2 linked regions of the Arabidopsis thaliana genome follow. The protein of the gene in region 1 interacts with the protein of each later gene in a pairwise test. Each region holds a gene or a part of one and is shown in the gene's direction. Other genes may lie near its edges.

The links.
Region 2: the proteins of OFP18 (region 1) and CRF9 interact in a two-hybrid assay, tested with the Arabidopsis thaliana proteins (one large-scale study listed by BioGRID).

Annotation. Positions count from the first base shown.
Region 1 is NC_003074.8:19,487,792-19,491,907, reverse strand, and holds OFP18 (ovate family protein 18), read left to right. Parts: upstream 1-2,057; 5' UTR 2,058-2,343; coding exon 2,344-3,192; 3' UTR 3,193-3,362; downstream 3,363-4,116. UniProt on the Arabidopsis thaliana protein: Transcriptional repressor that regulates multiple aspects of plant growth and development through the regulation of BEL1-LIKE (BLH) and KNOX TALE (KNAT) homeodomain transcription factors.
Region 2 is NC_003070.9:18,171,448-18,174,984, forward strand, and holds CRF9 (Integrase-type DNA-binding superfamily protein), read left to right. Parts: upstream 1-1,979; coding exon 1,980-2,969; downstream 2,970-3,537. Other genes in the region: AT1G49110 (uncharacterized protein), read left to right, coding at 266-799; BBX17 (B-box type zinc finger protein with CCT domain-containing protein), read right to left, coding at 3,294-3,473.

The DNA of each region.
Region 1 (4,116 bases):
ACTCGGAAGCTATGGTTTTGAATCTTTCATTGTAATAATTAATCCTTAATTTCTTCCATTTTATTAGATATGGATAGGTTACGTATTTTCGTGGGTGGATCATATGCAAGTATGGCGTCGACAAAGACCAAAAACAAAGGATGGTTACACACTTACACACGTACACAGTCTAGACTCTAGCGAGAGTCCTGATTTAACGAAAATAGTTATTTGCAAATAAATTTCATCGTCTAACTGCTATGTGATACAAATACAAACCAATAGATTGTACGACTTGGTCATTAATCCCATTGTCTTTCGATACACATGACTGGATCACTACTGGACACAAATCTTGATAAAAATCTTTTTTTGACGAAAACTGCAACATGATCGGTATAGCTGAAACTGTTGACTGTTTCTATCACTATCAGCATATGACTCTTCTGCTGAAATTTAGTAGTTATATGCATGTAACTGCTAAAACAGTGAATAAAAGTGAAAGTATATTAAAAAATTAACATTAGGTTTGTGGGTGACACAAGTCTGACACAGATTTGTCCATGAGGAAATACGTGAAGATAGATATGTAAGCATTTAGACTTTTGTCTCTCTCTTATTTTTGTTGTTGGATTCCTCTCTCGCATTTTATTGCAGTTGTATTTTCACTTATTTTTAATCAGATAAGTGATAATTAATTATAACAGGTTATAGTCAACTAGTTTTGATCAATTTTGGACCTAAATGGTCATTTGTTCAAATCTCTAGTTTCCCCATTTTTTTCTTTCCGTTATTCATTTTTCACACACTTCAAATCTCGAAAATAAATACCAACGTTAAACTATTTGGGTTGGGCTCAGATCAAAATTTGTAACCTAATTTTTTTTGTTGATGTAGATGAATCCTAATTTCTTTTTGATGTAGATCAATCCAAATTTCTTTTAGATATATTCGTATTCAAGCCGTACCGGCCAAGTCGATGGCCACGATGCTTTAACTTTGAAGGTCCTAGACATTAAAGCAGTATCAGATTTGGTAAAGAGATGAGAAAGAATTATTATAAGAATTCGGGAAATGTTTCAGCTGAAGCGACTACCACGGAAATTATAAAACTGTTTAGCATCGACGTCATATCTTTTGATAGTTAGTTGGTTCCTTCGACTGTTCGTTGAGTTTATTATTCTCTTTATATTAATTAGTTCGTGTTATATTTTAAAGTGTAGGATACGTACACGTACATACCTATATATTAATATATGTTTTAAATTCGTTGTTCTCATTTCAATTTACAATAATTAGATCTTCGTACTATATTTAGGTCTAAAACATTACGTTACACTAACACTGAACATTTATTAAAAGGTCTATCTTTTATATAATTTAATAAAAAGACTACCAATCAAAGGTTTGGAATTTGGATGATGGCTTAGTGGTAGTATTAGGGATAAATTATAATATTATGATCATGATAGCTATTTTCGGTAGGTATAGGTATCAAGTTTCAATTAACTACTTTGGCGATATTGTTGAATTCATTATTTTCCAAAAAAAAAAAGATATTGCTGAATTCATTTATTTTGAAGATCGTTTATGTCATGTTGTTGTATCTATCTATATTAACAGTTGCCTGTCAATCTTTAATAGGAACATTAATCAAACATTGATGTTGATTAACTTTGGCAGACACTAGTTCAGTTACGTTCCATATTCAGATATACGAAATTATTTCCATCCATTTTCTAAAGTTGATTTTTGTTTTTTCTGATATTATCAAACAAGGAAACATTTTAAATTTCATATTACAGTTTTATCAATTTCAGATAAAGTTACTTAAATTTACCATAATATGCATGTATACGATCGTGTATTTGATTTGCAAACAGTGACGAATTTGTGTACTACTAACGGAAAACTATCAAATGCATGAAAAAAATAGTTAAGTTTTGAAGTGATTTTATATACTTTAAGGACTCATCCATGTATTAACAATAAATAAATTTAATGTAATATTTTAAGATTTCAAATATATATAGATTTTGGATATTCAAATATCAAAATTGTACTTACAAAAATTGAATGATCCCCAACCAAACAACAATAAATTTGGTGCCAATAATTAAATACACTAACCAAAAAAAGTTTTAATTCAAAAATCAAAATAAATAAAATAAAGTTTCTTTTCTTTTCCCCACCCATCCTTTCGTGCAGCCTCTCCTCTCCTCTCCTTTTCAAAAGCCTTAAAATCTTCCTTCCCTCTCTCACCATTAATTCCATAAATCTCCTATAATTTTGAATCCAACCCCAAAAGAAAAGAGAAATTTACATTCTTGTCTTGTCTTATTTTTTCAGCAATCAAAAAGGAAAATGGTAAGGAAAATGAAACTCCCATTTCTAAACAAGAACACATCATCTTCATCATTTTCTTCAAATTCATCATCTTCTTCCTCTTCGTGGCCATGGCCTTCCTCTCATCAACAAAACCTTAAAACAATATCTTCCAAAGCTTCCTTCATCGTTAACAAACCTAAAGATGTCTACGAACCCGAGCCACCACCGAGAAGCTTCTCCTCCTCCCCCTCCTCCTCCTCCTACTCTTCCTTCTCCTCTACAAGCCATGCTATAGAAAATCCACCAGAGATAGAGTCTATAGAGAATGTGATTAAAGGACTAAAATCATCGAAGAGACTCATCTTTGAACGGAGAGGAACATCGAACTCTATACTCGAAGAAGCTACCAAGAGAGACGATCATGAAGAAGAAGAGGACGGTTTAATGCTCTTGTCCTTGGAGTCAAACGATCCTTACACTGATTTCAAGAACTCAATGGAAAAGATGGTTGAAGTACACGTGCTTCATCATGACTGGATAAGCCTGGAGAAACTTCTCTTTTGGTTCTTGAAAGTCAACGTCAAGGCAAGCCATAGATACATCTTCGCCGCCTTTGTCGATTTGGTCTTAAACTTAGCAGTAGGGCCTTCTAAAGATGTTGCTGGAGAACCTAATTCCGACGTCGTCGTGGAGGATTCTCTTTCATCTTCGTGGCCGGTCTCGTTGTACTCGTCCTCCGATGAGAATTCGTCGACGTCCGTACGATTCTTGCCGGAGACTTCGATAGGCGAGAAGGGTAGAGACGTTTGTTGTTTATCGTCGTTGTTTGAGTTAGAAGAAAAGATTAAAGACAATATTGATCCAAATGATTATGTATCTTCTTAATTTCTTCATTTGATAACCTATGGATACTCAATTCTTCTTTTTTTCGGAATATTATGGAAGTAACATCTATTCCACGTGTACATCTTTTGTAGCACGAGTCATGTGCAGAATATCTTTTAATTTAGTGTAAACTTTTTTCAACCTAAAATAAAAGGCTATTGATCAACAAACACTCTCCGAGAACTCTTTTATTTGATGGGCTGAATAGAAATTATAATAATGGGCTAAGGGCCTTTGGTTTTACAGTTGTTATGTGTTTAGTAGCAAGACATCAAACATTTTATCTAATATTCACCTGTTACCATCCAATGTTAACACTTTACTTTCAGTGTCAGAGTTACAATCAATAAGCTTTCATGCCCATATACCAAAAAACAACCCTTTCCCATTCCAGTAGTGCAGTGCAGTGTGCACGAATGTAACTTCTCCATTTTGCTTAGCAGCTTTGGACAGTGTACTAACCACGTCAGGAAGACGCATTCTCAAATCAAATGCATCAAAGCCTCTGTTACATCAAAGATTACAATATGTGAAGCCCTACGTTTGTGAGTGAGTGTATTCATGGTGAAATTTCTCAATGCATGTACTCGTGAACAGTCTCATATGTGAAAAGGGATGGTGATGGTTCCAAGTATTTAGCAGTAAAAGACAATTTGTGAGAATGGGATGGTGACTTAACTTTCAAAAAATTTCTAGTTTGCCAACAAAAAAATACGTTAATTGATAGCAGTGATTTGCACCCCTCGCCGCTCTTCATAAATCAATTATTGCTTACACTAAAGTGTGCAGAGCTCTCATTTAAAAGTGATTAGAGTAGATAGCCCCAAGAGAATAAGAAAGTATAACACTTTGCTAACCAGAAAAAATTAGGTATTCAAGATTTATTTTCCAGCAGCCATCTAAAGATATCACAATTATAATAGC
Region 2 (3,537 bases), on another chromosome or scaffold:
AGTCTAAACTACTCGGTTCTTTCGTTTTCTTTATGGGAAAATGAAACAGCGTGCTTCTTATCCCTCTTGGGAAAATGAAGCAGCGTACTTATTAAGGCAGCAACTGAATAGTCTACTTTTTTCACACACTCGCCTCAATTCAGTGTCATTATATAATTTAGTATCTTCCCATATACGCGATAGCGTGTTAGCCAAGGCAAACTCACTAGGGATTTGTCCTCTAAGCCACGAGATGAATCTCCGTCAAATCTACGAAGTTTAATGGATGAAAACAAAAGCCGGTATTGAAGCCGTTGTGGAAGTGCAACGCAGCGAGAAGCTAAAGAGGCGAGCGACATCAAAAGGTAGGACGGCTGCTGAATCGGCTATGATAAGAGCGTTTAACGCTCAATTTGCTGAGTATAGCTCTGAACTAAAGATAGCTCGTGCGGTCATGAAGAAAGAAAGTGATACTGGTGTTCGTCTCCGAGACAAGTACTGGCCAGTTTCTGCATTCGGTGTAGCCATCAATGTTTTGCACGAAGAGGCAGTTCTTGATTTTTGTAGGAAAGAGGGAGTGAAATGCGGTTTGTACAAGTATGTTGAAGGACTGATTGAACGCAAGACGGTGAGTTTTGCTTTACGCGAAGCCGATAATCTTCGGGCTGTTCTCAAGGAAATGGAAAGGTTTGAAGTTCCGGTTTCGTCTATGGATGGAAATTGTCTTGTTGATAATAAGAGGAAAGATATTGGATCTGTTCTTGGTCATGGTGGAGAAACATCATCTAAGAAGAAGAGACGTCTTACTCGTAAGAAGTAGATTTGACTCATTAACTCGTTAATGGGGAAATGTGAAAATGTTAATGGGAAAATGTATAACTCATTAATACTACTCATTATGCTTTTTATTTTGTTTTGTTTCTTTAGTCTTTCTTTTTGTAACGTTTTTGCGTTTTGTTTTTTCTTTTTGTTGTACGGTCTTTTTAAAAGTTTAATCTACTGTTTAAAACAAAAATTTTATGTTTATCGACACACTCAAACTGGAAGGTCTCAACTTAATCGGATCATGTTTATCAAGTTTTGAAATTTCATTTTATACATATAAGATGATAAATATATATACTATGATGTAGTGACTTAAAAAATAATCTAATGATTTGAAAATTAAACTCGTTAATATAACAAAAAAAAAAATCACTACTAGTTTTGATAGAATAAGTGTATTATTTTCTCAGGTTGCTTTTGAATGTTTCTTATGTATCATGTAAACTTTAACTATATAATAAAATCGATTTGCCGTTAAAAAAAAAAAAGTGTGTTATTTTCTCAAAATCATAAGTTGAGGGTTGAGATTAACCTATGAGATTCTGGATAGTCCCAATTTTACGTGTTCTCCGTACTTAGATGGTTGATTTCTCCATCGAAAATAAAAAACTTTTTATTTAATCATTAATGTGTAGTCTACAAATTATTCTCCGAGAAATACAAAAAAATAAAAATTAGAGTGTGATATCAATTGAAGTTTTAGGACCAAAGAAAAAAAGAACTATAATATATCATCAGAGAATTCCCAATTTTCCATTTTTTCCTACTAAAATATTAACTTTCTTTTTCTATCACAAAAAAAAAAAAATGGTAAATTTAGATATGGTAGTTACCGATATCCTCGTTAATATTTACTACAGATTTTACTTTTATGATTATATCTAAACAAAAATTAAAAAGGAAAACAAAACAATTCTCATAAACTATTAATAACGTCTTCTATGTTTCGTCTTCCTTAGCTTTGCCATAAGCTCCTTGAATTTTATTTTTGACACACTCTCCATAACAAGGTACGATGATGAATCTTAACTATGTTTTCTGTTCAAGTTTTTCTCCCATGTTTAGGTTTTTAATCTCTATCTCTATCACCAACTCAAAACACTACATTGTTTTTTTTTTGGTTTTTATTGTAAGATTCTGTTACTTAGTACCGGAGTTTAGTCGGAGAGAGAACAATGATCAGTTTCAGAGAAGAGAACATCGATCTCAACTTGATTAAAACAATTAGTGTAATCTGTAATGATCCAGACGCCACCGATTCCTCTAGCGACGATGAATCTATCTCCGGCAATAATCCTCGCCGTCAGATCAAACCAAAACCACCGAAACGTTACGTCTCAAAGATCTGTGTCCCGACGCTGATCAAAAGGTATGAGAACGTTTCGAATTCTACAGGGAATAAAGCAGCCGGAAACCGGAAAACGTCGTCGGGTTTCAAAGGCGTACGACGGAGGCCGTGGGGGAAATTTGCGGCGGAGATAAGAAATCCGTTTGAGAAGAAGAGAAAGTGGCTTGGAACGTTTCCTACTGAAGAAGAAGCAGCAGAAGCTTACCAAAAGAGTAAAAGAGAGTTTGATGAACGATTGGGTTTAGTTAAACAGGAAAAAGACCTAGTAGATTTGACCAAGCCGTGCGGTGTACGTAAACCAGAAGAGAAGGAAGTTACTGAGAAGTCGAATTGCAAAAAGGTAAATAAGAGAATTGTTACTGATCAGAAGCCATTTGGTTGTGGTTATAACGCTGATCATGAAGAAGAGGGAGTGATTAGTAAAATGTTGGAAGATCCGTTGATGACATCGTCAATTGCTGATATTTTTGGTGATTCGGCTGTTGAAGCAAATGATATTTGGGTGGATTACAATTCAGTGGAATTTATTTCCATTGTAGATGATTTCAAGTTTGATTTTGTGGAGAATGATAGAGTAGGAAAGGAGAAAACATTTGGATTTAAGATTGGGGATCACACTAAAGTTAATCAACATGCCAAAATCGTATCGACCAATGGGGACTTATTCGTCGATGATTTACTTGATTTTGATCCGTTGATAGATGATTTTAAGTTAGAAGATTTTCCTATGGATGATCTTGGATTATTAGGAGATCCAGAGGATGATGATTTTAGTTGGTTTAATGGTACTACTGATTGGATCGATAAGTTTTTATGAATACTTTCTTGACACGGCCAACGGTATTAGTACAAAACTACAAATCTTTGAGTTACAAGTTGTTTGTAATTCGTTTTGGTTTTTGTAACTAACTGCTTATATAAAGAGATTTACCTCATAAGAGAAGCTTTTACTAGTATGAAATTTAAATTCTCAAATTGATTTAAGAATAAAGTTGTAACCATGTCATTGTAGGGATAAATTCAAAAGCTACGAAATATGTTCCACATGAGCTTTTTTGTTCTTTTGATTAGCTTCTGGTTTCTTTGGAGTAGCCTTTTTTTTATTTGGCACAAAGGAGAAGAAACTGAGAGAATCTGTTCCCTAAGAGTCGATGGCTAAAGATCGTCGGACAAATCGACCTTTCATTCTCGGCCTTTTGTCGGCGTTAACCTTTCTAACCTCGTACCTTATCTTCTTCTCGAACAAACGATTCTTCCTTTTATCTCTGTATCTCCAAACTCTAGCTTCTCTCTCACTTCTTACTCTCTTCTCCTCTATCCCCTGCAATCAACAACCATTACAATAAGTTTCTTTGATAGATTGGGTTCAATTTTCTCAATTTGAA